4 linked regions of the Callithrix jacchus genome follow. The protein of the gene in region 4 purifies or fractionates together with the protein of the main gene of each other region. This does not show direct contact. Links are inferred from orthologs where the notes say so. Each region holds a gene or a part of one and is shown on either strand. Other genes may lie near its edges. The genes, in order: DTNA, DTNB, MARK2 and UTRN.

The links.
Region 1: the proteins of UTRN (region 4) and DTNA purify together in Homo sapiens (affinity purification with mass spectrometry; 3 studies listed by BioGRID and IntAct, with this or other methods). This does not show direct contact. The link is inferred for Callithrix jacchus from reciprocal best matches to the Homo sapiens genes UTRN and DTNA.
Region 2: the proteins of UTRN (region 4) and DTNB purify together in Homo sapiens (affinity purification with mass spectrometry; 3 studies listed by BioGRID and IntAct, with this or other methods). This does not show direct contact. The link is inferred for Callithrix jacchus from reciprocal best matches to the Homo sapiens genes UTRN and DTNB.
Region 3: the proteins of UTRN (region 4) and MARK2 purify together in Homo sapiens (affinity purification with mass spectrometry; 4 studies listed by BioGRID and IntAct, with this or other methods). This does not show direct contact. The link is inferred for Callithrix jacchus from reciprocal best matches to the Homo sapiens genes UTRN and MARK2.

What each region holds. Positions count from the first base shown.
Region 1 is NC_133514.1:77,574,623-77,583,002, reverse strand, and holds the start of DTNA (dystrobrevin alpha), read right to left. Parts: upstream 4,676-8,380; 5' UTR 4,389-4,675; intron 1-4,388. UniProt on the Homo sapiens protein: May be involved in the formation and stability of synapses as well as being involved in the clustering of nicotinic acetylcholine receptors.
Region 2 is NC_133515.1:89,524,788-89,533,117, reverse strand, and holds the start of DTNB (dystrobrevin beta), read right to left. Parts: upstream 4,361-8,330; 5' UTR 4,314-4,360; intron 1-4,313.
Region 3 is NC_133511.1:120,952,673-120,959,927, forward strand, and holds the end of MARK2 (serine/threonine-protein kinase MARK2), read left to right. Parts: intron 1-329; coding exon 330-587; intron 588-1,677; coding exon 1,678-1,704; intron 1,705-3,862; coding exon 3,863-3,907; intron 3,908-4,566; coding exon 4,567-4,927; 3' UTR 4,928-6,730; downstream 6,731-7,255. UniProt on the Homo sapiens protein: Serine/threonine-protein kinase. Involved in cell polarity and microtubule dynamics regulation. Phosphorylates CRTC2/TORC2, DCX, HDAC7, KIF13B, MAP2, MAP4 and RAB11FIP2. Phosphorylates the microtubule-associated protein MAPT/TAU.
Region 4 is NC_133505.1:151,251,014-151,258,597, reverse strand, and holds part of UTRN (utrophin), read right to left. Parts: intron 6,344-7,584; coding exon 6,209-6,343; intron 4,178-6,208; coding exon 4,028-4,177; intron 2,901-4,027; coding exon 2,739-2,900; intron 1,950-2,738; coding exon 1,821-1,949; intron 1,112-1,820; coding exon 938-1,111; intron 1-937.

The sequences.
Region 1 (8,380 bases), on a different chromosome or scaffold from region 4:
TGCCATGTGACTCAGCTTAAGATCATTTGAATAAAATTAAAATTACTAAAGCTTTCCCCATAATTTTAATCTAACAATTGCTTTGATTTATGTTGAAAGACCCCAATATAAAAATTAACAGCGTCTTTTTAATTTTACCAAGATCATTCAACTGGTGATTTTATTTCACACTTTATATCCTCTTTTCAGCACATGACCTCTGCCTCCTGAGTTCAAGCAATTTTCCTCCCTCAGCCTCAGGAGTAGCTGGTACTACAGGTGTACACCACCATCCCCAGCTAATTTTTGTATTTTTAGTAGGTGGGGGTGGTGTGTTTCACAATATGGCCAGGCTGGTCTCGAACTCCTGACCTCAGGTGATCCACCTGCCTCAGCCTCTCAAAGTGCTGGGATTACAGGCATGAGCCACCGTGCTCGGCCTTAAATTCTTACATTAATTAATGATCAAAAAACCTTTAGCTGTTAAAGATAGTTTCCTGATCGTTTGAAATGCCAATATAGGTACTCTTGTACTTTTGATTTAAAAAATTTTAATAGTTTGAAATGTTGCTCAATTTACCATTTTTGAACTAAAAAATACATAACATAATGAAACATTTCTCATAATCTGTTAGTCATTTGGTTTTATCTAGGCATTAATATACCTTCATGTTTTATACATTTTTCACCTATAAAATATGGGGCAAAAAGTATTCATATAAAGGAAGGTCTATTTTTCCACTACTTTTTAAAGAAAAAAATAATTGAAACATGAGATTAGGAGGTATTACGATTTTCAACAGCAACGGAAATGTAATGCAGCCATAGTTTCTGAGCCAGATGTTATACATCAATAGTTAATAGCATGAATTAAGGAATCAGAACACTTTGTTTTAAAGACCATCTCTAACTATATGACAGTGGTCAGGGTTACTTTCCTCCTTGTGTTTCAGTTTTTCCTTCTATAAAATGGAGATAATGACATGTAAACCTCATGTGGCTTTTGTGAAGAATACATCATTTAATTTATATATAGACCACAGAATGATGCTCAGTACACAGTATGTGTTCAGTAAATTTAGTCACTATTATGTTTGCTTGAACTCGTTAATATGAATTTCCCCAGCATCTTCAACATTCAATATCATCTTCATTACTATGGAACCTCTTCTCTTCTTTTGGGTAGTTCAGACAATATCAGGGACTGTGTGACAAATCAATTAAAGTTCTATTTTGAGACATCCTGGCACTTTGAGAACAACAACAACAAATAAACCCTCCCAAACTGAAAGTTTGAAAGTAGTTGCCAAGGAAAAGAAATAAAATAACTATGTTCCATTAAACCTAAATAACTCTTTGCAAATAGGCAACTAACCACATAAAGGTAGCACATGCTCCATGTGCTTTTAAAAAAAGTACTGACAGTTTTGTAAATCTCCCCTTGTCCATGGGTGGATAATGAGGGGAAATAGTATGTCTCCTAGTGAACAGAGAAGTAAAGAGATAATCAGAGTGACATACATCTCTGATTCAGAACATAATTCAGAAAATTAACATGCAAGCATTTAGGAAAAGATTACTGTGCTTAGTAAACACCTTCTCATATGTCATTGTTCCACAAATATGTAAATATGTGACTTTTCAGGCATCTTGTCCTGACCTCCATGTCTAGTCCAGTAACCTTCAATACATATTCTCATAGAATTCCTCCTTTCATTCAGGTAATTTACCTCAACTTGCAAGTAATCATTTATCGGCATGATTATTTTATTAAAGCTTGTTCCCCTTGTGCAGTCAGAACTCACAGATCTTTCTGCTCAGTATTGAACCCCACTTCTGCACCCCACACCTGGAAAAGAGAGGCTCTGTAGAAGCAGAGATGGTGCAATTATTTCAAACTAGAGGTGTCGGACTTGAAAGGAAAAGGTCATGTCAAAACTACCAAGTGAGATAAAAGTAGCAAGCTGTTTCTAAAATAAGTAACAGAAGCTAGAAAACTGGAACACTGAGTTAAGAAAGGCTATATGTATGTACCACAGGATTTACGTTTTAATAACAATCAACACTATATATAAATAGACTTGGAAAAATCAAATTCAATTTCAGTATCAAAAACACTTGTGCCTGATGGCATACAACCACTCTGACCACAGGACTGCACTCTAGCATCCCAAAATAAAGATGTAGCCATAATTCTGGAGTGTGGGTGTCTGTGTGAGTGTGTGTGTGTGTGTGTGTGTGTGTGTGTGTTTGTTTGTTGTGGGGAGAGGTTGGTTAACCATTGAAGAGCCGAATATTTTTTCTCATATCCACAGATCATGTTTCCGTGCCATTTAGTTGGATTCTAGTCTCTTTTTACTTATAATGTTAAGTGTGAGTTTGAAATTATATATATTGAATTTAATTAAAGTAAAAGATGAGAATTAAAGGAAATCTATGAATGTCAAAATAATTTTGAAACTCGTTATGTGAAGAAGCAATTAAAATTTACTTGTAAAAAAAAAACAGATGAAGACTTAAGAGAGACATCTGCCCAATAAAATGAATACTGTGAAAGCTCTATGATAAGCTCAAATGAAGAGTAATTCTCTAAATATGTGAGAGTAATTCTCTAAGTAAGTTGGAGCTCACCCCATTGAGACCTTTCTTCACATCATGGTTCATTTAAAGCAAGTGGAGATTTTTAAAGTATTTCAACTTAGAACTAATGAGAAAATTTGATTTCAGTCTTCATTGCGACACAATTCTGTATAAACTACATACAATTGGCTAACTGACATGACAGACTCAAATGCCCTTAAAATACAGCTTGCTTTTCATCACTGATAGTTGAAAGAGAATTGCATAATTCTTTTAGAACTGCCCAACTCTCGTCAGAGTGACTGGATTAAATATAATTAAACTTGCTCAAAAATCTGCAAGATGGTGTTCTGAAGTAAACGAAGGCCATGATTTGAACAAAGAATAGACTAATAACCTAGGAAACTTAAAATTAAGTGCAAACAAACATATAGTCTTAACCATCCGCTTTATAATAATTTACTTTGCTGATACATCTTAACCGTTGAAAATCTCAACTCTGCATGAAATGCAACTTTAATTATTGAAGGAAACTTGGTTAATTATAGTGAAAAGAAACTGCTCAAATGTCATTTGCCATAATTTTAGTATTGAAAGTTAGAGTAAGAGGAAAATGTAGAAAAAGAGTTAATTGATCTGAACATGCAGCACATCGCTATAAAACTCACCTTCCTAGAAAGATATGGTCGATATAGAAGACGTTAGGTACAACGAGTTGATTAGGAACGCACAAAAAGCCCAACTAGACTCTGACACTCAATAAATGTATGACCTTGGGTAAGTTATTTTACCTCTCTGTGCCTGGATTTTCTCACCTGCAGAAGTTGTTTAATAACATTACCTACTCCTTTGGTTTTGTAAGAATTAAGACAGCGAATAAATCTAAACCATATAGAACTGTGGACCATGTGGCAAGAACTTTTTCCCTAAAGTTCTACCTTTAGAATAAGCAAAAGAAAAAAAACTATTTTTTAAAGAAATCAATAATTGTGTACATTTCAACAACACAAGTATCTCTTAAGTTCAAAAGAAAACACAAACACTTGAAATGCCAAGTGATAATGACAGATAACAGGAAAACATAAACATCAACTCAAACGACAATTTTTTTAGTCTAAGAATGAAACTAAAACATAGTAAGCTTCACTGCAAGTGTACATCCAATATTTGCACCCCCCCCACCCCGCCATCCCCCACAGCCAAGTTCTACAGTTATTTTCCCAAAGCCATACCCCAAGGCTGCCAAACAGCAAAGTTTTATCATCAAGTCCCAGGAGCGGTACCACTGAGTCCTAGCCCCGCTGTTGCCACCCCTCTTCTCTCTTTGGCTTTGGTCTTTTGACAGACACCCCTCTCCACCTCCTACTCTGGATACCAGAACGAACCTCCCGCCTGCCCTCGGTCCAGCAAAAAACTTCGAAGTGGGCAACAGGCTATAAAAGCCAAAGACAGTCACCCCCGTGCCCACCTGCCTCCGCCGCCCCCGTCCCCGGAGCCAGGAGCCCACTCCCACTCAGGCATCCGCCCGGACACCGCAGTGCATTGCAACATGCCAGGACGCCGCTTGCTGCAAGGGAACCCCTCGCGGATGTCCCGGTCAATACCCTAAAGACTATTCCCCGACGTGAGTGTCATCCCTAATGGAGGCAGACACGCCACCTCCCACCAGCTCAGCCCCGCGTGGATGACCGAGAGGACAGCGACCACAACAAAAACCACTCAACCCGCGACGCGAGGGAGCCGGCTGCCATCGCCACCCCGGGAGCGGCGCCGCGGCGGCAGCTGGGGCTGCGGCGCCGCCGGGGCCTTCGCGGGCGGCGGCGATTTACCTGCGCGGCCCCGCGCCCCCAGGCCGGACATCCTGCAGCAGCCGCTACCGCCGCCCCGCGGGCCCGAGGCGCCGCCCGCCGCCCGGGGAGGCGCCGCGCCGCAGTCCTGGCTGCGGCGCCCGGCACATGCTTCGCGCTAGCCGCGGCCGGCGCCGGCGCACAGGTGGGAACCCCGCGAGTGGGCGTTGAGGCGAATCCCTGCCCCCGCCGGCGCTCTCCGCCCGCTTCCACTCTTGACTTTCCTCGGTGTGCGGCGCCTGCCCTTGCTCCAGCGCCGAGCCGCCTCTGCCCGCGCCCCGGCGCCGTGGGCGGCTGCGGTCCCTGCGCAGCCGGGGCTGCGCGTCATGTGCACCTCCCGCTCCGCGGCAACGGGCGGCCAGGGGCAGCGCGCGGCAGCTCGGCCTGGCGCCCACTCCTCGCCCGGCACACGGACCCCCTCCACCCCCGCGCCCTCCCCGACTCCAGAGCTGTCAAGGAAGAAAACGCCGTGCACACACCTTGGAATGGACGGGCGCTCCAGTCACCGACTCGCCAAACTCTTAGAAGGTGTCCATTGGTCTGCAGGGAGGTTTGAGCCTGGAGTAGGAGCCGCTTTCTTATTATTTAATAATGTTGGAAGTGCCGGGTCCGCTGCCAGAGTTGTGGGTCATGTGGGCACAGCAGAGGCTGGCTGCTGCCAGTACCAGGGTTTCCTGAGGATCCTGAAACTATGATCTCATCCTCCTCATCCGCCTCCCCCGCCCCTCTCTCCGCGGGCGCGCACGCACAGCACACACACACACACACACACACACACACACTCACACTGAATGCACTATCCTCCTTCCTGGAACGAAATATTCCTCTAGAGAAATAGTGGGCACGCTCGTCATTGAAAAAAAAAATATTTCAAGATAGAGATTTGTCTCTTCCAAAGCTTGATTTATGTGCTTTGTTTATTTCCTACAGTTTTCCCTCACACGTGCAGGAGGTCGGAACAGAGCCTCAGAATTAAAATTAAAAATAATTATTCTCTTACGTTGACCCAGATTTTGGTCGGAACCCAAGAACTCAAAACAGTACAATTTCAATTTAAAACAGAGGCAAAATATACCAGTCTTGAATATAGAATATTCTTAGATGTGTGCAGTGGGTTTCTTTCCCAAGCTGCAAACATTCCCCAAACATTACCTCATTTATTTGCAGAGCATCTTTGCAGAGGAGGTGGATGAAAAGGCAAATAGTAAGTATTGTCACTTCAGAGATGCAGAGGCATAAGTAAGATAACATGACCTATCCAAGTACACATAATAAGTCAATATCTCACTATAAATATTAATTGCACAGATACTCACAGGTTGCTTATTCACTATAACCAATTTCCAGATACTTAGGTTACTGAAAATACATTCTTGATTGTTTTTAAGTTGCCAATTAAAATTGAAAATTATTTTATCTTACTATATGTGTGTCTTGATATAGTTTTCTCTTGTATTATATTTCCATTTCCACGTTTTCATATAATTTTCTTTCTTTTGGGGGGAATGTGTTGTGTGTATGCACACATTTATATCCAGTTGCATTGTTTAAATCCTTAGATCATAATTTCAAGCAATTTTAGCCAATGTTTTTGAAGTAGTCACCAATTTCATAATGATTTAACTATGCCATTCAAACACCTTTCACCTGGTGTATGTGAAGAGCTACACTACATTTTGAAGGATACAGAGAAGTTTAATACAAGTACCTGTCTTCTAAGTTTACTTCTAGTTATTGAGACAAGATACATATACTAAATGACTGCAGATTAAAACCTTTGTTATTTTGGTGCTGTGAGTTATCACAAAGAAAATAAAGATACGCTTAATTTTTGTTCCATGTTAAAATCATTTCATTTGCCTCTGTGCCCTATATTTCAGTCTGCCATTAACCCTCCTACCTTTTGAAGGGCCAAGGTAATTATGTCTAGTTTGCTCTTCTCTTACACTTGCACCGTAACAGTACATAACTGTACATAAACAGTAAATGGGGATTGTTTTATATTGTAAAAGTTCTCAGAAAGAACACTTTTGGGTAGCTTCTGCTCAGGTGTAGATAAGAAGCTCCAGCAGCCTTCTAATAAACTAGCCTTCCAATAACCCAAAAAGAAGAGAAATAGTGTGAGAGAAAGACTGATCAGAAAAAAGGCAGAAGAGAAAGCAGTCAAGGGAGGGGAGAAAGGAGGGGGAATGAAGTTACAAGATAAGAAAATAGAGAAGGAAACAAAAGGAGAAGAAAAAGAGGATCAACTTTTGCTGCATGGAAAATTTAGGAAATTGTAGACTTTCTTACTGTTAGTAAACCAAGGACACCAGGTGTCAGTTCTGCAGAGGATGTGCTGACTGATCTCAATTTTTTTAAAAAAGTAAAGGATCCACTAGAAGAAATAAGTAGACTGACCTATCAGTATAATGTAATAGTAAACATGACGATGGGATGAAATAGCCATGGTATGTACATTTTTAAGAAGAAACTAACACCGAAATTCAGGGAGACAGATGGGAAAGCAAAGTCACTGGTATAGTAAAGTAGGTAATGAAGAGATAGGCTTGCAATATTTAAAGAACAAAATAATAATAATATATTTTGATTTTTGCGATCTTTTCATACATTTTTATGGAGTCTAAGAATAATCAGAAGTAGGCACCTTAATGGACTTCTTTTTTATGACAGAGTCTCACTCTGTTGCCCAGGCTAGAGTGCAGTGGAACGATCTCAGCTCACTGCAACCTCCACCTCCCAGGTTCAAGCAATTCTTCTGCCTCAGCCACCTAAGTAAGTGAGATTACAGGTGCGTGCCATAACACCTGGCTAGTTTTTGTATTTTTAGTAGAGACAGGGTTTCGCCCTTTGGTCAGGCTGGTCTCGAACTCCTGACCTGGTGATCTGCCTGCCTCAGCCTCCCAAAGTGCTGGGATTACAGGCGTGAGCCACCACACCCAGCCGGGACTTCATTTTTTTAGAGTGTGATAATTTTTCCTAATTTTCTATAATACATGTTGAATGGAGAAATATTGAAAATTTTCACTCATTGTTTTGAAACTATTATTTATAGTTTCAGATATGTCAACTCTAAATATTGCTCAGTATATCTTCTTCCAATACTTCTCCTAAACAATAGGTCTAGATATATTTCTGGGCATAGATCATAACAGTGATTTATAATCCCGGATTTTACACAGGCTATCGGAGTTAAACTAGATGCTTTAGTACGTGGCAGACTCTAATGGCTTTGCCACATTTCTGGGAGATTTCTGCAAAAGAGGTGGAGGGTTAAATTGAACAGCGATGTATCAAGAGCACTTTTCTTTTGATCTGCATACTCATAGCAGGATTTGTTTTGATTAGAGGTATATTTAGGTTTGATGGTTATAACGTGTTTCAGAAATGCATTACAATTTCAGTGACTCAACAATCACTAGCAGTTTGTGTCAGAATACCTTCATGTAGGGAAAAATATTTTTAATGTGGTTATGCACAAACATTTATGGTTTGTACTAATTTAAGCTATCATTATCAAGGAAAGGGCATTCCTGATGTTTATTGTTTTGCTCTTATAATTTCTTGCTTTTTAAAATTATCATTGATCTGATAATGGCTGTAAGTAAAATCAGAATGTTCACTATAGTATATTAATAGTAAACTATGTGTGTACCTATGTTTTAATGTGTAATGATATATAGAGAATATATGGGCTTTCGATCAAATGGGGATAGTTACTATTATCTATGAGCTGTTAATAGTTTGGGGGCATAAGGCATTAAAAATTTTGGAATATTTAAATGACTCATATAACAAAAGTAAAAAGAAGATAGATTCAAAAGAGTTGAAAACTAAACGCATTGCTATTTTTCCAATTAGAAACTCTTATGCGCCTTCAATGTAGACTGTCTCAGGGAAGAATGAGGTCTTGAAAAACACAAAATGTATATAAATTTTGCTTCCCCAACCAGCTGGTTAGCTTTCAAGAATGA
Region 2 (8,330 bases), on a different chromosome or scaffold from region 4:
TTTTCACTGTTTGTTGTTGTTGCTGTTTCAGACAGGGTCTTAGTCTGCTGTCATGCTGGACTACAGTGTCACCCAGCTCACTGCAGCCTTGCCCTTCCAGGCTGAAGCCATCCTCCCACTTCAGCCTCTCTCACAAGTAGCTGGGACCACAGGCTTGCACTGTTGCACCCAGCTAATTTTTTTACTTTTTTTTGCAGGAACAAATGTTGTCTAAGCTGGTCTTGAACTGCTGGGCTCAAGTGATCTTCCTGCCTTGGTCTCCCAGAGTGCTGGGATTACAGGTATGTGCCACTGCACCCAGCCAGCTGTTTCCATCAAAAAAATAAAACTATGAAACCCTCCTCAAAGACGCATATGTATACTTGAACAAGACATCACTTGGTTTTGTTTAAAATATCTCAACCTTGTTAACAGTTCTCCTTATGTTAATTTATAAATTTAATATGATTCTCCCAAAATATAAACCAATTCTTTTCTGTAGCTATACAAGTTGATACCAAAGTTTATGTGGAAAAATAAACACTCAAGGATAACTAGTAAGACACAGAAAAGAAAGAGATATGAGAGGAGACTAGCCCTAGCAAATATTAAAACATGCTATAGAGCTTTCTGAATGAAAACAGTGTGGTTCTGTTTAATTTGATTTCATAGGCAAATCAATGAAATCAAATAGAAACTTCAGAAATTAACTTACTGCTTATGAAAATCCAGTAGACAATACACAGTCAAATGACTGAGGCAAAGATGGGCTTTTTAATAAATGGTGTTGGGAGGCAGGGCACGACGGCTCATGCCTGTAATCCCAGCACTTTGGGAGGTTGAGGCAGGCGGATCACTTCAGGTCAGGAGTTTGAGACCAACCTGGCCAACATGGTGAAACTCTGTCTCTATTAAAAACTACAAAAATTATCTGGGTATGGTGGTTTGCACCCGTAACCCCAGCCGCTCAGGAGGCCGAGGCAGGAGAATTGCTTGAACTCCAGAGGCAGAGGTTGCAGTGAGCTGAGATCACTGCCATTGCACTCCAGCCTGGGAAACAGAGCAAGACTCTTGTCTCAAAAAAAAAAATAGTGCTGGGGCAATCGAATATTTGTACTCTGTTGGTGAGATTATGGAAACACACATTGCTGTAAGAAATGAAAAATAGTATAGCCCTTATGGAGAAGCATTTGGTAAGATTTAAAGAAACGATTTGTACATTTACATTTCAACCTAGCACTCCCACTTCTAGGAATTTATGCTAAAGATACCTCCGAAATACATAGGCATGCTTACATATGTAAGTTTCTTCATTGCACCATAATTTGCAAAAATATTTGTATTTGCATGGGAAACTAACTAAACACCCAAACGTAAAAGATTGATTGACTACACTATGGTTCTTAAATACAATGGGGTATTAGGAGGCTGTCAAAAGAAATTCAGAAGATCTTTACTGACTGATACATAGTCATTACCAAGATATATGATTGGGTTTTTTTGTTGTGTTTTTTTTGTTGTTGTTTTGTTTTGAGACAGGGTCTTGCTCTGTAATCCAGGCTGGAGTGCAGTGGCGCAATCATATCTCACTGCAACCTGGACCTCCCCAGGCTCAGGTAATCTTCCCACCTGAGCCTCCCGAGCAGCTGAGACTACAGGTACATGCCTCTATGCCCAGCTAATTTTTGTATTTTTTTGTAGAGACAGGGTTTCACCATGTTTCCCAGGCTCAGAAATCTCAATTCTTAGAACTTATTTTATTAAAACATTCAGTTATGTGTAATTAAATGTATGCAATAGAATATCTTACCAGAGTTATTTCTCAAAACCAAAATTTAAAAAAATACTTACAGAGCTCTGATTAAATTATGAGATAGAAGAGTCCCAAATCACTAAAATAACACTGTAAAAGAACGTTTTAGATGATATAAAATGGTATATGTAGTATGGCTCAAATTTTGTTTAAAATATGTTTGAGAGACCAGGCATCGTGGCTCATGCCTGTAATCCCAGCAATTTGGGAGGCTGAGTCAGTTGAATCACCTGAGGTCAGGAGTTCCACAGCAGCCTGGCCAACATGGTAAAACCCTGTTTCTACTAAAAATACAAAAAAAAAGCTAAGAATTAGCTGGGCGTGGTGGTGCATGCCTGTAGTCCCAGCTACTTGGGAGGCTGAGGTAGGAGAATTGCTTGAAACCCAAAGGCGGAGGTTGCGGTGAGCTGAGATCCATCATGGCACTCCAGCCTGGGCAACAGAGCAAGACTCTGACTCAAAGTAAAAAAAATGTGGGAGACAACACAATAGAAAAAGGAGCAAGCATTCTATGGAAGAGAAAACACATGGTCAATAAACATAGAAAAAGATCCTCCATTTCATTCGCATTCAGGAAAATGCAAATTAATACTACAACGTTGTACACCTACTAGCATGGCAAGTTTTAAAGTTTCACAATTCCAAATGTTGGAAAAAAGGCTAATCAATTGGAAACTCCTATACAGTAATGGTGAGAGTATAAATTGGTACAACCATTTTGCCAATATTTAACAGGTTGAAATTCTACCTACCTTATATCCAGCTATTCAACCCCAAAGATACTCTTCATGCATGCACCAAGGGGAATGTGCAATCACTGCACTGTCCTTAGTACTTTTTTTTTTTGGAGGCAGAGTCTCGCTCTGTCACCCAGGCTGGAGTGAAGTGGCATAATCTTGGCTCACTGCAACCTCTGCCTCCCAGGTTCAAGCAATTCTCATGCCTCAGCATCCAGGGTAGCTGGGATCACAAGCGTGCATGAGCACGCCCAACTAATTTTTGTATGTCATAGAGACAGGGTTTCACCATGTTGCCCAGGCTGGTCTCGAACTCATGAGCTCAGGCAATCTGCCTGCCTTAGCCTCCCAAAGTGCTGGGATTACAGGCATGAGCCACCACTCCCAGCCTGTTCTTGAGACTTATGAAAACAATCCAAATGGCCAGCAAGAGAAAAATGAATGTATAAATGTGTATATCTCCACAGTGGAAATATTAAACAGCAGCAAAAATAAAAGAACATTTGCATAACACAGCATGGATAAATTGAACCAACATTTTTCTTCGTGAAAAAAGCAGGAAACATATGACTCATAGCATGTTACCATTTTTACAAAGCTGAAAATCAAATAAACACAAACAATTTCTAAAATTACTTTAATAAGGCAAGGGGAAAAAAAATAAGGCAAGGGAATGATACTCCCACCCCATGAGAGGAAGTGGGAGACTAAGGGGTGCACTTAGGTAAATGACAATTACTGCCATTGTTTATAATGTTTTGATTCTTGTGGGGGGAGTGTAATGTTACATATATTCTTTGAATATATCAAATATAATATTTATCAAAGATAAAGGGAAAAAGTGTGTGTTTACTGTGTTCCTTGAATAAGACTGGATGAATATAAACCAAAATATTTGAAGAAGTTATCTCTGGGTAATAGGATTAAGAATTATTTTAATTTTCTTTGCATTTGTTTGTATTTTCAAACTGTCTTAAATGAACATGTACTTTTTTGGAGGCAGGAAGAAAAATATTTTTTAAAATCTGTGCTAGAACCTGTTCTATTTTCATTCCACAGTCTGAACATCCAAGTCTTAATTACCATAGTGATAAATGATCTGGGGAAGAGATGCGTGGTGGAATCGCCAAGGTCATGTGCCAGGTAGTGAGTGAGCTGAGAGTGGCAGGGAGGAGGCTACAGAAGGATGTGAGCGAGCTGCGTGGGAGGGCAGACACCTGCCCTCCGAGTGTCAGTGTGAGCAGGAGGAAGGTAATAACAGCTGAAGGAAAACAATTTAATGAACCTGAAAACCATTCCTTAAAGTTGTAAATAAAATCCACTGTCCAGCCTGCTCTGGCTTCTAGCTTCCTTCTCCCACCTCCACCCCCATCCCACCAAAAAAACCAAGAACGTGCAGATAGCAATACTCAAAACAAAACATCATAATCGCATCTTTGTATCAAATTATTATACATTGACACCATAATGTGTGTCTCGTTCTGTTCTCTGCCATTTACAGATGGCGTGATAGGACTGGAAGGGGTCCAGGAGAGAGTAATTCAAATGATTAGCAGAAAGAAGGTCCTTCACAGGAGGCAAACAAAAACCAAAATCCATCCTTCAGGGGATGGTGATAGCTTGGCTGCCAAAGGTCCGCACAGTCAGGACACAGACAATGTTGCCGAATCTCACAGTCCCAGCAGTACGGGGTAGCGCGCCATCTGTGTTGACAGAGGCAGATTTGGAAGAAATGAATAGGAACTGCTATTTTGCATGGCAAATAACAATGTGGAAATCCTTACCCCCAGAGGCTGAAGCCTGAGTCCTCGGTCTTGGCCAAATGTGGAATGAAGCTGGCACAGAAAACCAGCTCGAACACCTCTGAGTGGGATTCGGAGGGCGGGGAAGAGAGGCAGCGCTAATGGTGGTGTTGATCTTTACTCTCTGTATCATCCTGTGGATTATGAGAGCCTGTGACAAATTGCATGAAAAACCTTTCAAGACAAAGCTTTCTAAGATTTATCTCGGGAACAGCAGTTGTATTCTTCAATAAAACTGTCCTTAGGTGTCAAGCTGAAATTTGGACTGGCTTGGATAGCTAGCGAGACTTCTGTCATATTTTCCAGGTGCTGGGATTACAGGGGTGATTAGCTATCATTCTGCCATACCATGCAAAGCTCACGAGGCAGGAGGCTTGATGGCACCCCAAAAGATCCCAAGAATTACCCCAAGAAGGCAATCCAGAGGCTAGAGTGTCCGAGGAAGAGTGTCCTACAGGTTTTGTTAGTTTATCAAAGGCTTGTTTATTTATGTAGTGTTGTCAAACACCTGAAAATGTCAACAAATTCTATGTTGACAAAACATTCTAAACTGGCTCAAGGGTAATTCAAGCTGTTCTCACATACCTGTCACCTGGTATGCTTTTGAGAAAATATACCTGCACCCAAAATTCATCTAGATGAACTAATCTTTTTTTTCCAGCCTGTTACCCAGGCTGGAGTGCAATGGCGCGATCTCAGCTCCCAGCAACCTCCGCCTCCTGGGTTCAAGAAATTCTCCTGCCTCAGCCTCCTGAGTAGCTGGAACTACAGGCTAATGCCACCATGCCCGGCTCATTTTTGTATTTTTAGTAGAGACAGGGTTTTACCATGTGAAACCCTGGATCGAGACCAGGATGGTCTCGATCTCTTGACCTCGTGATCCACCTGCCTCAGTCTCCCAAAGCGCTGAGATTCTAGGCGTGAGCCATCACGCCTGGCGGAACTAATTTTTTTTAAGAGACAGAGTCTTGCTCATTGCAGCCTCAAACTCTTAGGCTCAGGAGATCCTCTGGCCTCAGCCTCCCAAAGCACTAGGACCAGGCATGAGCCACTGCACCTGGGCTGAATTTTTTTAAGTGACCCCAAGTGATATAATGCGTAGCCAGGGTCGAGGAGCACTGAGCTTCTCCCATTTGTTAAAGTTAATCATTTGAAGGGTTTCTGGCTGTACAAAGAGTGCAAAGGGCGCTGGAAACTAGCTGGGATAGAAGTAGAGACCATTCCGCCGGCTCGGCGTGCAAGGTCTGAAATACGTCCAGGGTGCCCCTGCATGGTCGTGGGTGAGGGAAGGGAGGCTCAGCTGCTTTATTTTTTATTTTTATGTATTTATTTATTTTTGAGATGAGTCTTGCTCTGTTGCCCGAGCTGGAGTGCAGAGGCATAGTCTTGGCTCGCTGCAACCTCCGCCTCCCAGGTTCAAGTGATTCTCCTGCTTCAGCCTCCCAAGCAGCTGGGATTACAGGCATGCACCACCATGCCCAGCTAATTTTTGCATTTTTAGTGAAGATGAGGTTTCATCATGTTGGCCAGGCTGGTCTTGAACTCCTGGCCTCAAATGATCTGCCCGCCTCAGCCTCCCAAAGTGCTGGGATTCTAGGTGTGAGCCACCACATCCAGCCTCAGCTGCTTTAGATTTCAGCATGTACCAGACAGCCTTGGGCAGCATTAGGGTATGTTTCCATGGTCCCTGTTATCATGTGAGGAAGGAAAGAGAAGTGAGATACACATCCCCTTCCTCTCCCAGGCCCCTTCCATGCCATCTCTCTAGAACTGGAGAGAAGAAGGCATGAGGCCAGCGGGACCCAGGCACAGGAAAGAGCTTTCCAGTTGTGGATGCTGAGCTGCTCCATCTATCTCTCGTTTCACCTTCTTAGCTTCTCAACATTTGCTCACTTCCTCATGCAGGGTTCACCTGTCCTGCTGTGTGCCTCGCACATTTGTGTGCTGACTCAGCATTTCGGAACTCAGCCTCTACACAATTCAGCCACTCTTTTGGTTCCACATGACTGATTTTTGTAGGGCCTGAATCATTACCTTTTTTTTAATTTTTTTTGAGATGGAGTTTCGCATTTGTCACCCAGGCTGGAATGCAATGGCGCAATCTCCTCTCACTGCAACCTATGCCTCCTGGGTTCAAGTGATTCTCCTGCCTCAGCCCTGCCGAGTAGCTGGGATTAGAAGTGTGTGCCACCACACCTGACTAGTTTTGTAATTTTTAATAGAGACAGGGTTTTAGCATTTGGTCAGTCTGTTCTCTTGACCTAAGGTGATCCGCCCACCTCTGCCTCCCAAAGTGCTGGGATTACAGGTGTGAGCCACCATGCACAGCCAGGCCTGGGCTTTCTGATTGGGCCCTACAGGATCTGCACCTGGCTGCAGTGCAGGTGTTAGTTGTGATGATGATGAACAAGCTTTTTCTGCTTGTAGACATAGCTGAAACCATATTTCTGCCAGCCAACAGCTTTTCATGACTTTTCAGAAGCCTGGAACAGTCAGAGACCCAGGGAGATTCGGAACCTGTGCAGCACTTTGGGTATCTATTGAGAAACACCAAGGAGGAACCCCTCACACAAACAGCAGTGCAGTGTGTTGCTAGTACTCTTTCGCAAGCAGTTCCTATTGAATGAATGTCTGCCCCATACTAGCCTATGAAATAGAAGATAGGAAAGACCTGGCAACTTCTGCTTAAAGAAGTTTAAAGGTCAGGCATGGTGGCTTATACCTGCAATCCCGGCACTTTGAGATGCTCAGCTGGTAGGATCCCTTGAGGCCAGGAGTTTGAGGCCAGCCTGGGCAACATGATAAACCCTGTCTCTGCAAAATAAATGTAAAAATAAATTAGCCTGATGTGGTTGCATGCACCTACAGTCCCAGCTACTTGGGAGGCTGAGGTAGGAGGATCACTTGAGCCCAGGAGTTTGAGGTTGCCATGAGCTATGACTGTGCCACTGTACTCCAGCCTGGGTAACAGAGCAAGACTCTGTCGAAAAGAAAAGAAAAAAGGGAAGGGAGGGGAGGGGAGCGGAGGGGGCAGTTTAAAGATGGCAAGTGAGTTATATAAAACTGATGATTTTCAAGAGACTATGTTAAGTGGTTTTTTGTTTGTTTGTTTGTTTTTTGAGACAGGGTCTGACTCTGTCACCCAGGCTGGAGTGCAGTGAAGCGAACACAGGTCACCATAGCCTCGACCTCCTGGGCTCAAGCAATTCTCTCACCTCAGCCTCCCATGTAGCTGGGACCACAGGTGTACACCACCATGCCTGGCTAATTTTTTAAAGTATTTTTTGTAGAGACAGGGTCTCACCATTTTGCCCAGGCTTGAACTCCTGGGCTCAAGCAATCCTCAATCCTCCTGCCTCAACCTCCCAGACTGCTGGGATTACAGGTATGAGCCACCATGCCTGGCTAAGTGCTTTTTAATAGAGCTTCAGAGAGCTATGGGAGCCCAAAGACTCATTCCAACTGGAGCCCTAGTGTGGCCGACTGTCACAGTGATGGTCCCCAATGAGTCGCACCTCTTGATATGTGTGCTTTTTTGTGTTCCCCTCCTACATGGACTCTGATGCTGCCATGTGACTTAAAGCAATGCACACATGACATAAGCAAAGACTGGATAAATACTTACCACTAGGGCCTGCTGTCTTGGCACGTTGCCCTTGGACCACCTTGTAAGGAAGCCAGTCTCCTTAATGGAATATGAAAGGCCTTGTGGCGGGAAACTGAGGCACTCCAGCTGTCAGGCAGCACCTACTGTCAGGCATGGGAATGAGACCCTCTAGGGTGTTCCAGGCCAGCTGACCTTACCGTTAAGTGCAGCCACTTGGCTGGGCCCTGGTGACGCCAGCTGACGAGCCTCCAGCTGACCTGCAGAATTGAGAGAAACAATAAATCGATGTTGTTTGACGACTAAAAGTTTTGGGGTGATTTGTTATGCAGCAATAGCTTACAGGCAGAAATTGGTACCCGGGAGAAGAGAGTGCTGTAATAAAACACAGCATG
Region 3 (7,255 bases), on a different chromosome or scaffold from region 4:
CTCAATCCTTGAGGGTCGATCCCCATTGTCCCCTTGAGGGTCCAGTCTGCCTGGCTCCCAGGGGGTCCGCTCTCTGCAGCCTGAACCACACTCCATACGTGGGTCCTTCCTTGCCTCCCTCCCTCCCAAACCATCTCCTTCCACTTCCACGAGACTTCCTTCTCACCAGTGTCCTCAGTAGTCACACCCTTCCTTCTGTGTCCTCGTGATGGCTGCCTCTGCCCTAGCATCCCCCTCCCTGTCCCCACCACAGGGTATCCAGGTGCCCAGTGATGATGGCTGTCCTGTACCCTAATGCGTCCCCCTCAACCCCACTTCTCTTCCCACAGCACAGCCCCCCAGCGTGTCCCTGTCGCCTCCCCCTCCGCCCACAACATCAGCAGCAGTGGCGGAGCCCCAGACCGAACTAATTTCCCCCGGGGTGTGTCCAGCCGAAGCACCTTCCACGCTGGGCAGCTCCGACAGGTGCGGGACCAGCAGAATTTGCCCTACGGTGTGACCCCAGCCTCTCCCTCTGGCCACAGCCAGGGCCGGCGGGGGGCCTCTGGGAGCATCTTCAGCAAGTTCACCTCCAAGTTTGTACGCAGGTAAGCACGGAACTTTGGGTGGCAGAGAGGCTCAGGCCAGGCCTTCCTCCTTGATTGGGTGGGGGTTGGGGTTGGGGTTTTGGACACTCTGTGCCTGTATTGGGTCTTGGGGTTAGAAGAGGCTTCAGGAAGCACAAGAAATTGGGTCTTTGTCAACTCCTTATGTGCCCATGCCCAGCCCCACCCCTCTTAGGCCTCTCCCCAACTCCCCACAGGCACCCCTCATTCTCTGGCCCCAAGCAGATGGCCGATGCCGCCTCCTCTCTAGGAGAGTGTGAACTCAGATGCTAAAATAAAAGCCCCCCCTCTCTCCTGGGTTCCCATGGAAACTTATATTTGGTGACGCAGCTGCAAAGTCATGAGGCATGAGCCAGGCTGGGGCCAGCAAGGAAAATTTTGTCCTGGTCTCTTGCCCCTTTGACCACCTCTCCCCCTAGTTGGTTCTGTCTGACTGCAGGCCCAGGGATTCTTAGGGTGAAACCTATAAATGAAATCAGTGGCGAGGGCCCACAGTGGCCTCCTCCCCAACCTAACTCCTATGTGCCAAGGCTTTCCTCTGTTGGACCCAGGGTATGGTCTCTTCAGGGGGTTTCTCATACCTGAGCACCCAACCCCCACAGAGGGGCGGCTTAAAGTACATCCAGCCATGTGGCTGGCCTCCTGAGATGCTCCACGTCCCCATCCCACCCATTCTACTCCCCACCTTGGAGTAGCAACTCAAGAAGCAGCAGGGGCCTGAGAGAGCAGGCGTGCTGCCCTTCCCCTACGTTTCACTCCACTCCGCTGGAGCCAAAGCCACTGCCCAGCCCAAGCCCCAGAATGCAGGTGTGAGGCTGCAGAGAGGGAGGGCAGGTCTGGAGGCCTGGGGCTCTAGTCCTGGTCCAAGCCCCAGAATGCAGGTGTGAGGCTGCAGAGAGGGAAGGCAGGTCTGGAGGCCTGGGGCTCTAGTCTCGCTGAGCGGCTCTTCCAAAATGGGATGACCCATGAACCTGTAAAGCCCACTCCCCACCTGCTTATCCACATACCGTCTTGTTGGTTTTTTTTTTTATTTCTCTTTTTATTTTGTCTTTTTTTTGTTTGTTTTTTTTAGAAATCTGTCTTTCAGGTTTGCCAGAAGGTAGGCGTTGAGCCCGCTGTGTGTGTGTGTGTGTGTGTGTGTGTGTGTGTGTCTGTGTGTGTGTGTCTGTGTCTGTGTCCTGTGTCTTGCCTCCATCACTAACTCCCCTTTTCTGGCTCTTACTCTCCTCCATCTGCTTAATCAAGTCTGTGTGGCCCTCCTCTCTCTGCCATCTTAAAGGGATGAAGACTCCCTCTGAGTGGGCATCGGCACAGGGCCTGCCCTCCATGCGCCCAAGTGCAAACAGGCAGGGCTAAGAGGCCACGTTGCCCTACTCTGAGCAAATAGGCTTTTAAAATGAGGGGCCTTCCTTGGGCCCACAGTTACGCCTGTCCTCAAGTCAGAGGAGACCATCTCAGGGAAGCCTCCCTTTAAGATTGTCTCCTCTCACCCACCCCACCCCCACTCCCCCTCACCCCAGGTTTTGGTCACAAGTGTTGGGATCCTTTTCTGGCTCCTTCCCTGTCATGTGCATGCGCTGTGAGGAAGCTCCAGGGTTACGAGCGCATCTGGGATGCTTTCACCTTTGTTGTCTTCTGGGCTTCCTGAACTTCAGAGCTGTGTGACCTCTTCCCCGTGGCCTGTGGGATGGCAGGACTTTGGAGACACTACAGGGACCCTGGGGCCCCAAGGTTTCAACTGTGACTCCTCCAGACCTAAGGAGCTTTTGTCACAAATGGAGCACAGCACCCCCTCCTGGCAGCTCCTGCAGACCTAGGCCCCCTCACCCACACCCCTGCCCCAGCACCTCTGCCACCAGCAGCATCTAGATAAATCAAGCCTCTTCTCCTGTAGGCTGTTTTGTGGAGATATGGCCTGTCCCTTCCAAAGTGCCAGGAGCTGGAACATTCTAGGGCAGGGGCCATTCTACCCCAAGCCCTAGCAAAACAGCTGGCAATCTCTGCACCCTCACTGTGGGTCTCCCTTCACGGGCCCCATCCTGGCCCTTTCCGCGCTGGCCTTATGCTCATCCTTTCTGCAGGCCTCAGGGGCCAAATACCAAGCTGAAAACCAGGGGTCAGGTTGAGAGTGCGGGTTCCCCAGTGCTGTCTGCTCAGGCCCTGCACTGGGGCTGGACACCTGGCAGGCACATTGGCGCCACTGCTGACAGAGGAACTGTCCAGACAGGGTCTTCAGGCTTTCCCCATCCCCTCCTCCTCCCACCCAGCTCTTGACTGCATGGCTGGCTGCTGCCTCAAGGAGCCCAGCAGGGGGCTGCCCCACAGGGGGTCTGGAGAGAGCAGGGAGGTGCCTTCCTCGCACAGCGGGGCTCTCTGCTCGCAGTGCGCTTGTGTGCACCCCCGTGTTGGTTGTGTCTTCCTGTTTATTTCTATGTGCTGCTGCTGCTCTTTCTCCCTCCAATCACATCCCCCCTCCTCAGCAATCCCCAATTTCCTAGCTCCAGACACCCATCTTTCAGCCAGGAGCTGGAGAAGCCGCTCAGCGGGGCCAGACCTCTTCCCCACCCACTCCCCCAAGGTGTCTGCCCTGCCCCGCCCGCCCCATCCTCCCTGTTTATGAGCAGATGGCCTGGCAGGCCGGCAGGTAGGGGAGTTGGGAAAGGTTGGAGGAGGCGGCGTTTTGCACTCAGCAGCTGGCATCCACCATGCAGACCCAGGCCGTGGCGCTTTGAGCCTCGGGACGGAGGCCTCTGCGTAGCCCCGGCCCCTCCCCCACAGAGATCCAAAGCATTGTAGCCCCTTTTCTCCAAAAGGACTGCAGTCCTGAGACCCTAGCGTGTGGCTCCAAAAACCCACTCACACCCACAACCCCTAGAACAGCGCATGAGCCCTGGCTGTGGGGGAGCAGCCTCGTGCCGGGCCGTGTGCTCAGTGTGCTCAGCGCGAGTTTGTGCACAGCCACGCCCCCTCCTCCCCCAGAGCAGAGGCTCCTTCTCCCTGGCACCTGGTAGAGATCTGGGAGTGTGGGGAGGGACAGGCCCATGTGCTGGGCTCCCTGCTGGAAAGGAATAGTGGAGCCACCAGTGTGAGGTGCTGCAGAGCCCTGCTGGCCTGCCGGGAGATGGGCAGAGGGCCCTGGGCTCGGATCCTGCCCACCCACTAGTGGCACCTCCCCAGACCCACTCTCATCTGGGTCTGTGGTGGTGGAAGGAGCGAGAGAGCTCAGCACTAAACTCTCCCTCGCTCTGTTTTTTGAGGAACCTGAATGAACCTGAAAGCAAAGACCGAGTGGAGACGCTCAGGTGAGAGGGCTGGAGCCAGCACTGGCCCTGCCCGGGCCACCGGGCTTGCCACAAGCCTCCTGCTCCTCTCTTCCTTCTGCCACTTGGCTCTTCCTCCCGTGGTTCTGCCCTGTCCCTACCCTCTGGGGCCTCCCTTTCCTCAGAGAGTTTCCCCTTCCCAAACCCAGTTGCAGGAGTTATGGGCCCTTCTCAGGTCTGGTATATTCTGTGAGTCTTGAGTTCTGGGTCGGGTGGTCGGGTCTACAGATTCCTACCCCTGGACTACTGCCCTCCTCTTCCTGTCCCTGGACTACTACTCCCGCACCCCCACACTGCTTCCTACCCCTGAACTCCTCCTCCCTCCCCATCGTCCCCTCCACCTGGTGCTCTGAGGCTCCTTTCTAGAGAGGCAGCCTATGCTCGGCTATTGAGGGCACTGGTGTCTTCCCTAACCCGGCTCCCTGCTCAAGGCTGGCTTCTCCTCCCCTTCGCTGTCCTGAGAGATGGGGATGGAGGACGGCCTCCCTCTGCCCCCTGGGGCCGGGCTGCACCTCGCTGCTCCTGCTCCCTCTCGCTCTCCCCTCTGGTCTCAGGGGCTGTCTGCCAGGGTGGCTCTGTGGGGGTTGGGTGCCTTAGCCCCCCCACCGCCACCATGACGCCTGCCTCTGCCCTCTCCACAGACCTCACGTGGTGGGCAGTGGAGGCAACGACAAAGAAAAGGAAGAATTTCGGGAGGCCAAGCCTCGCTCCCTCCGCTTCACGTGGAGTATGAAGACCACGAGCTCCATGGAGCCCAACGAGATGATGCGGGAGATCCGCAAGGTGCTGGACGCGAACAGCTGCCAGAGCGAGCTGCACGAGAAGTACATGCTGCTGTGCATGCACGGCACGCCGGGCCATGAGGACTTCGTGCAGTGGGAGATGGAGGTGTGCAAACTGCCGCGGCTCTCGCTCAACGGGGTTCGATTTAAGCGGATATCGGGCACCTCCATGGCCTTCAAAAACATTGCCTCCAAAATAGCCAACGAGCTGAAGCTTTAACAGGCTGCCAGGAGCGGGGGCGGCGGGGGCGGGCCAGCTGGACGTGCTGCCGGGCCGCCGCGCCGCCCCACCCCACCTGGGTGAGACTGCAGCGATGGATTGGTGTGTCTCCCCTGCTGGCACTTCTCCCCTCCCTGGCCCTTCTCAGTTTTCTTTTCCATGTTTGTGGGGGGTGGGAGATGGTTCTCCACACCCCCCACATTCAGCCCTGCCCAGAGATTCCCCCTTCCCCTCTCCCCCACTGGAGGCAAAGGAAGGGGAGGGTGGATGGGGGGGGCAGGGCTCCCCCTCGGTACTGCGGTTGCACAGAGTATTTCGCCTAAACCAAGAAATTTTTTATTACCAAAAAGAAAAAAGAAAAAAAAAATCCCAGCGGCCACCTTTCCTCCCTGCCCCATTGGGACAGTCGAGACTGGATCTGTGGGGTTTCCCGGGAGGGTGGCTCAGGGCTGGAACACTCTCAGGCAAGAGTGGTGGAGCTCCCGTCAGGCCCTCCGCCAGGCCCACTGTGGGCTTCTCCCCTCTCCTCCCTCCTTCCCCTCCAAGCAAACCACCAGAGGTGGCCTTCCCCTGACCTCAGGCCCCTGGGCTGGAGGCCTGGGCAGCGGGGCGGGGTGGGGCGGGGGTGCTGCGCAGCCCTGCAGTGGGTGGGGCTGGGGGCTGCTCCGGGCTGCTGAGGCTGGAGGGCCAGCTTGAGGCTCCGCCTCCCTCCACACTGTACCCTCTGCCCCTCCTTCCCAGAGCTGGGCATTTCCTTCCACAAGCTGCTGTGGGGACGTGTGTTCCCTCCTCAAAGTCTGTGCCATCTTCTCCCACCCCTCCCGGGTAGAAGGAGGGGCTGACCCCAGGGCTGGGAGAGGGGAGGGGACTGCAGGGCAGATTGGCTCCTCTGTCCCCAGGGGGCCGCTTGGGCTCTTGGTCTCCAGAGCCAGGCCGCTGGGCACTGTGTGATGGGGGAGCCTTTGTCTGAAAGCACAGCCCCCTCACCCTTCCTCTCCCCATTGGCTTCCCCTTCATTGGCATTAATCTGGGCACCAGCTCTCTCCATAGCAGTGACTTCCCTCACCACTCTCATCTCTCAGCCTTGCCTTTTCTTCCTGACACTGTCGCCCCTCCTCTCAGGAGACACTGCCCAGGGCCACCTGGCAGAAGGCTGGGTTGGGCAGCAGGGCCGGGAGCATCTGCCCTCCACCGGGTGGGGGACAGATAGGCAAAGCGACTCCCAGCTTGCTACCCTCAGTGGCCGGCGTGGGCGTGGGCATGGGCGGTTTTGGGCGCTGGGCTGGTGGTGGCCACTGCATCCCTTAATTTATTTCTCTGCTGTTTCTGTTCTTGAGAAATTGGGGGAGGGAGTCCTATGCAGAGGCTGCCCCTACCCTCACCTGAGTTGTACATTTTTTTTGTGATGGGTTTTATTTTTTATTTTATTATTTTATTATTATTTTTTTTTGATTTATGATGACTCCACCCCTCTTCATCACCCCCGCTCCCAGGCCAGGCTCAGCGATTAAGTCGAGCCCTTGGGTCCTAGGAAGGGGCCTCGCCAACCTCAGCCCTCCTGCCCCACACTCCTACTGCGGCTCAGACCAAGGGCTCCCCTCCCTCCCTTCCCCCCTCCTGCCCTATGGAACAGCCCGGGTGCTCTGAGGGGGCCGGGAGGGCATGGCTTGGCTCCCAAAGGGGGTAGGGGCCTGGGGCACCCAGGCAAGGTGGCCCCTCCCCATCTAACCCCCTCCTCCCCAACCCTGCACTTAGTTTCTCCTCTGGATCAAACACGTAATAAAGAGAATGTTTGGAATCTGAGCTGCCTCCTCCTGTTTCTTCTCCCAGCCAGGCAGGGACCCAGTCCCCTGTGGGCAAGATGTGGCCCAGCCGCCTGCCTTGCAGGAGACCAGCTCCCCACCCACCCTCAGGGCACAGACAGGAAGCAAAGCCCAGGGCCCTTGCACCAAAAGGGAAAGAAAACTCACTCAATAAGCTTAGGAGGTTTTATTTTTTATTTAATTTTTTAAAAATGTTGAAAAATAAATCCAAGTCTGCATAAGTTCCCAACCCCCATTTCTCCAAGCTTCTGGAAGGCGGTCCTGGTGGGTACCCTCAGCTCCTTAGCACTTCCCAGCTGACCCCTGAAGACAGAGCTTCCCTTCCAGCCTCTGCTGCTGTAAGGCCCCTCTGCCCACCTCCCCACTGCAGCCTCCCTCCCCACCTCACCCCAGACTTATTGCTAAAAGAACGGAAAGAGGAATGAGGACAGCCAGCACACCCAACTGTCCTCTCTCCACCCCCATGCTAAGGTCACTACCCCCCACACAGAAAGGGCAGGGCCCA
Region 4 (7,584 bases):
AAAAATTTAAAGTTAAATAAATTTAAATATAAAAGAAGAAAAAATAAATTGGAATTCTGTAGGTCAAATTCAGAGATGTCTTCATCCTAGTTACTTGAAACCAAAAAGCTTTACAGCTTCTCTTGACACCATACATCATCATCTTAACATCTCATGGGACACTATCACGCAACAGACCCCTAAACTGTGTTCCATGAAGTCAAAGACAGCACTTGCCCTGATTACCATTGTGTCACGATAATGAAATACATACTTATATACATGCACATATATATTGAAATTTACCCTTTGTTTTGAAAGGCACATAGAAATGTCCCTGTATTTCTCCTGCCCTAAAGAGTCTCAGCTTAAGTTCTGTGATTCTCAAGCAGAACACTAATTATAAGATTGTGTCCCCTTAGCTACATTATTTTTAAATTTCTATTCAATTGAATTACAAAGTTCAAGACTACAAAAGTCATAAGGCCTTATATATAATTTCTTCTTTCCTATCTTAGGTTTATATTTCTATTTAAAATTTTACTTTACTAGAAAATTGAATTTTATGCTATAATATATCTGATATCCATTCTAAGTATGGTTCTTTTAGCTAACTCAAAATTATCCTTGAAAACTTTGCTTATTAGTCACATTCTGCTGAAGCCTTCCTAACTTCACACTATGATTGAGATGTGTTTCTTTCATTTTGGTTTTTGTTTGACATCATATTATATACATGTCTATTCTAGTTTCCTTAGCTATCTCTCTTATCTCTTCTAATTTCCTTGGAGGGAAAGACCACACTTCTTATTTTTTAACAGGTTTTTCATCATCAATCCTTATGTTTAGCACATTCTAGAATAGTGCTCATTGGACACACTAGGCATGTAAGCACTAGACTAAGCCATAACAGCTGCTGAAAAAGCCACTGGATGTGTCAATCACCCAACAGCCTCACCATACACTTGTCCAGGTGGGTCTGTATGACGTCAGGGTCTACATCCTTCACATCCAGAACATGAAGTTCTGCTTTCACACCATCCAACACACGCTTGCAGTCCAGCATGCGCTGCTCAAAGTTAGCAGGCTTCTGGAAAAGCTGGAACTTTGTGGATACTTCTCGGAGTTTCCTCTGTTTGCAGAAATAAAAATATGCAATTATCAGAATGATTATCTCTCTCATCATGAGCATAACGCATTCTACTCAAAATCTGTACCATAAGCACACACACACACAAAAGCAGTAATATAACAACAATAAAAATCCTAATAGAACTCGGTGAGGTTACCCAATCGCCTAAGTGAACTGCATAACCCAGTGTCAAAAGTTACTCAATACTCTGTCTCACTCTCAGGAGTCAGTAGATTTGGATAAGAAATTTAGATAAAGCTGGCCTCACTGGAAATAAAACTTCATGTTCTAAAGGACAGTTCTGCTCAAAATGCCCTTCATCGGAAGTTCAGAGTGAAAGTCAATGTCACATCAACCATGAAAGAACTAAATGATGTTGCATCCAATTCATGCTCAGCCTGCCCACAGCATCAGCCACAAGATGCTGACAGAGGCTCTGCATTAAAGAAAAAGACTATATAAAGGTAACCTCGAAATACGGCTCACTCTCTTATTTCTCAACTCAACTATAAAAATCAGATTTAACATTTCCCCCCCTTGCAACAATTTGTTTCTGCTGCCCTAGGATGCAATGCACCTTCAAGACATCACTCCCATTCCACAATTTACATCATAAGGGCACCAAGGGTGCCCGAGTAACCAATTCTTTCTCTTTTAAAAAAATTCCCAACGTGCTGAAAAGTAAATGGAAGCTCCTCGCCCTCCTTACCTGTAGCACGTCCATCTGACTTCCTCCTCTGGCAGACCTGCTCTCTGGGGAGGTCGGGGGCTGAGAACGCATATTTCTTCTCAGCTCCTCTAGGGTTAGCTCACGGGCTGAGATCTCTGCTTGAATTTTCTACAAAGAGATTGGAAAGGGGAAACAATGTCCTTTTTTTCTTAAGTATAAAAAGAAGCAATACAAAAGTTCTATATTGTTGTGTAGTACATAATGTTGTATTTTACATAATGTTGACCTCCATAGAAGCTTTAATAAGTTTTGTATGATAATACAGCACTGCATAATATGACTATTGTGTGTGATGCACATGCTAAGGTCCTTACACTTGTCATTTCTAATGTTCACAACTTATTTATAAGGAAGGAATTGTCCCAACTTCGTAGCGAAGAAAACTACTATTCAAAATATACAGGACTTTTCAACGGCACAATGGCTCACAACTGCAATCACAGCACTTTGGGAGGCAGAGCAAGGCAGATCACCTGAGGTCAGGAGTTTGGGACTAGCCTGGCCAACATGGTGAAACCCTGTCTCTACTAAAAATACAAAAAATTAGCCAGGCTTGGTGGCACATGCTTATAGTCCCAGTTACTCTAGAGGCTAAGGCAGGAGAATCACTTGAACCCAGAAGCAGAGGTTGCAATGAGCTGAGATCGCACCACTGCGCCTGGGTGATGGAGTGAGACTCCATCTCAAATAAATAACAAAATAAAATATATAGAACTTTTGAGAGAGTCTCACATAGAAAGCGAGAGAACTTCAAAACCTAAATGCTGCCCCATAAGTAAGGTCAATCTTTCCCACTGACTCTCGGTTTTGGATGGCAAGAGGGATTTTATTATAGTTGGAGAGGCAATTGCATATGCTCTGTTTACATCTTGAAAGCCTTCAAATTCATAGCAATACCTGAGCTTCCTGTGGAACTTGGAAAGCATCTATCCTGTCAGTTAGGTACGTGGTGAGCTGTTTGTCCAGCTCCCCCAAGCTCTCTTGTAAGACTTGAAGCATGTGGTCAGTTTCCCGCAGGACCTGGAGTTGCTTTTCCAAAGAAATCTGCTTGCTCTCTGCCTGCAGAGGAGAAATTGAATCATTAGTTGCTCAGTGCAAATATAAATAGCTGAATATATATGTTCTGGCCACTAAGAAAAGACTATAAAAGCTTTTGTTCAAGACTTTACCCTTCCTATAAATAAATAATAATTACTAATGACAACAGTGAAAATGTCCTACTGGGATCTTATGTACCATTCAGCTGAATTACTAATTATTACTTCTTTCTATATATAATGACGAAATACAAAAATGTAAAGTTTCACATAAGATGCATTAAACAGAAGACAAAAATTTGTTATTTATTATAATTTTAAGGAATTTTTAGGAGTCATCAATGTCTACCAATAAGAATATAAAACATAAGAAAAGGCCGGGCGCGGTGGCTCATGCCTGTAATCCCAGCACTTTGGGAGGCCGAGGCGGGTGGATCATGAGGTCAAGAGATTGAGACTATCCTGGTCAACATATTGAAACCCCGTCTCTACTCAAAATACAAAAATTAGCTGGGCATGGTGGCGCGTGCCTGTAATCCCAGCTACTCAGGAGGCTGAGGCAGGAGAATTGCCTGAACCCAGGAGGCAGAGGTTGCGGTGAGCTGAGATCGCGCCATTGCACTCCAGCCCGGGTAACAAGAGCGAAACTCCGTCTCAAAAAATAAATAAATAAATAAGAAAAATGTCTGTAAATACAGCAAACATCAGAGTCTATTTTTCTAAAGTGTAAAACAAATTCTACAGGTGTACGTACATATCAAACTACTATGTACTGTACTTTGGGGTTAAGCTTGATGTTATTCATTGACTAAACACCAACAGTTATTATTTAATATGTGTTTGGAAGCACCTAATATTCATACCCAATCTTCCTGTAAAAGAAGTGTTCTTTCTCAAAGTGTAATAAGAATATGTAGAAGTAATATCAAAAATAATTTTTTTAATCATCAAGCTCTGCCTTTCTTAAAGTGTTAGATCTATTCTCCGCTCCTGAGTACTTCAGTACTCTCAATGCCCCTGTTGGCATTGGTTACCAACTTTAACCAACATTAAAGATTTTTCCAACATTAAAGCTCTATGATATGGAGCTCAGGGCCAGCTCCACTTCATCAGTACCTAATCAACACGCATGCATGTCCCGACTCTTACCAGGTGACTCAGCTCTTCGTATCGGCTATTGAAAGCCTCCAGTTTCTCACTGATTATATCATCCAGGATCCCTCCATCAATCAGAGTCTGGCCAAGCTCTCGAATCTGGGTGCGATTATCTGCCGGGTGGCGCAGAACAGATTCCAGAGACTGGACCAAAAATGGGGAAAAAAATAGTGCATTTACTAAGGCCAAAGGTATCAAGGATCCCCAAAATGTCTAATTCTTAAACAACTAATTCCATTTTCTAAAAATCTACCTAAGGAATAGGACCAAAAATTAAGTAAATTACTAATTCACAAAAATATTCATCATGGTATTAAAAAATGCATAAAATTGAGAGATTTGCACAAGTGATATATGATGATATAATTCCACAAAAATAATTTCAATTATTTTTAATTATGGGAGGGTAAGGCAGGAATATCATTTGAGCCCAGAAGTTCAAGGCTGCAGTGAGCTCTGATCATACCACTGCACTCCAGCCTGGGCAACAGGGTGAAACTATGTCTCTGAACAATACATAAATGAATGAATAACAAAACATGAAAATAACTATTAATTATATGGGGAAATGCTCATGATATGACACAGTTTAAAGGCAGAGAACAATGCTATACAAGCAAAATTATCTCAACTTTTATTAATTATATTACTGAAAATAAGTATTCATTTTCCTACAATATATGCCAAATAAGAGGCACTATTTTATATATACACTTTTTATATACATAAATCTAATTAACCACATCAGCTAAATCACATTCCCAGTTTACAGATGGGAAAACTGAAGCTCAGAAATGTTAAATAAGTTGGCAACATACACAAAGTCAAAAGAAGAGCTGAGATTCCAACATGGCTCTAAAGCCTTTAAGACCGTGAAGGCTGGCCAAGCACAATGGCTCACACCTACAATCCTAGCACTTTGGGAAGCCAAGGCAGGTGGATCACCTGACGTCAGGAGTTCTAGACCAGCCTGGCCGACCGGGTTAAAAAAAAAAAAACCCATCTCTACTAAAAATACAAAATTAGCTAGGGTGGTGGCACACGCCTGTGATCTCAGCTACTCAGGAGGCTGACGCATGAGAATTGCTTAAACTCAGGAGGCGAGGTTCCAGTGAGCCGAGATCATGCCACTGCACTTTAGCCTGGGCAACATAGCGAGATTCCATCTCAAATAAAAAATAAATAAATAAAGAAGTAAAGAAAAGACCTCAAAGCCTTTGATACAGTGTATCACTTTCTAGCACTCATACATAAAAGATAATAATTAGGAAGAAATCTACAAACTGTTTAAAAATGTTTCTCTTAAGAGTTTGCTTTATACTTTATTTTCCATATTTCTAGAATGTACATGTATTCACTGTCATATTAGGAAAAAAATTAAGCTTTTCACAGTTTTCATTCACTCTGTCTCTCACTCTGCTATATTTGAGAAGTGGCATCTTTTCTCTAGCACAGCATCCAGCTCCTAGGACGTCAGTGCCACATTTCACTCCTTTCTGACCTTCAATCCAGTTGTCCACTCATTTCCCACATGGTACAGCATATCTACCCTCTTCCCTTCTGTGTGTGTGTTAAGCAAACCTACCCTCTTTGCATTGTATTTCATTTAAGAAACGCTTATTAAGTTAACATGTGCTACACACTGTGCTGGGAACTGAGGAATAACAAAGTATCAGGTACATTCTCGGCCTCAAGGAGTTGAAAGTCCAGGCTTGATGACAAGCTCCTATGACAAGACCCCATGACTCAACCAATGTCTTTCAACTTCTAACATCTGAAGGTAATAGGAAGCCCCTGTAAACAGTCATGGCTGTGCTTCGTGAGTAAAAACAACCTGTTGACGAAACAAGAGAAGAGCTACTCTAGTAACCTTGGCAGAGCTCTGTCCAGGGCCTAGCAATATAAACTGGAAAACCACTAGAGTGCTTCAACATGTGGAAAATGTGCCAACTGTCAAACACCTAACCGCATCATGAGGCTGACGTAGTGGGTCACCAGTAATTTAAATACACATGAAGGCATAAACACTTCAGGCTCTGGAAGAAAAATGCAAGTGACACTGAATATGACTGAAGAAGCAAATGCATTTGCCCGCATAAACATCACGTTCCCCATTTTAATACAAATGTGGCCGCATCACAACAGAGAAAAGCCATGGAGAGCAAAGGCTCCAACCTCTAGGGCTTCGTTGACAGCGTCCATCTTCTCAGGCAGGACCTCTGTGTTCTTCATCCGCTCTTCCAAAGTGTTTAACCAGGTGGTTTCAAGATCCAGATAGTGAAGCAGCTCAATCCAACAAGACCAGACCTCCTAAAGCGTGAAAAGTTTAAATCAGATGAAAAGCCATTTCACACATGATATCTCTAGTGCTACGCATTCTCTTTAATCACCAATAATGTCATTTGGATGTAGGAATTCAGAAACTGTTGGAGTTGAAACTTCAAATAAAAAAATAAAATAAAATAATCCAAAAAATCATGTCAGACCAATTGGGGAGAGGTGGGGAGCAAAGAGGAGTGGGCAAGAGGCTGCCTCACCCTTCACCTTAAGATAAATTCCACGATCTCATTTAAATGTCAAAAATACAACTATATAATTAGTAGCCTCATCCTTTACCTTAAAATAAATTCCATGATCTCATTTAAATGTCAAAAATACAACTATATAATTAGTAGGAAAAACAGGAGAGAAACATTATTTAGTTTGTTTTTTTGGAGGCCAGGTGCAGTGGCTCTACAACTGTAGTCCCAGCATTTTGGGAGGCTGAAGCGGGCAGATCACCTGAGGTCAGGAGTTTGAGACCAGTCTGGTCAACATGGTGAAATCCCATCTCTACTAAAAATACAAAAATTAGCCAGGGTGGTGGCAGGCGGCTGTAATCCCAGCTACTTAGGAGGCTGAGGAAGGAGAATCAGTTGAACCCAGGAGATGAAGGTTGCAGTGAGTCTAGACCACGCCACTGCCCTCCAGCCTGGGCAACAAGAGTGAAACTCCATTGAAAAACAAAAAATTTTGTTTTTTGAACAGAAGGAAAAAATTGCTCCAGATAGTAAAATTTTTAAAAAAATAATTTCATAGAAAATTGAAATCCCCTGGGCCCCACCCAGTTCCCACTCAGAGCTAACTGATGTAAAAGTTTGCAGGGTAGCCTTCCCAATATTTTTCTAAATTCATGAAGACCTGTCTATATAAGAAGAGAGCCACATTTTATCAAAACTGGAGTTACACTATTCTTGCTATGTTGGTTTTGATCACTCATTCCCCTCTAAGGTTTCCAGAGCAGGTACCCGGGGGTTGTGTAGGGAATAGATACATTTATAAATTCATAATCCCTTATTACAAGAGGAAGTTATTTGAGTGGCAAGTTTAGGAGAAAGAACTTCACTGGATGCCTCCGGGGCTCGTTCGCTTTTGGATGTACTGAATGAGTGAAGGCTTCTGCTGGTCCACACTCCATATGAAGTATGCTTACCAGATCAGGAAGCAGTACGTTTTTCTACAAAGGGCTAGATAGTAAATATTTTAGGTTTTGGGGGATACACTTGGTTCCC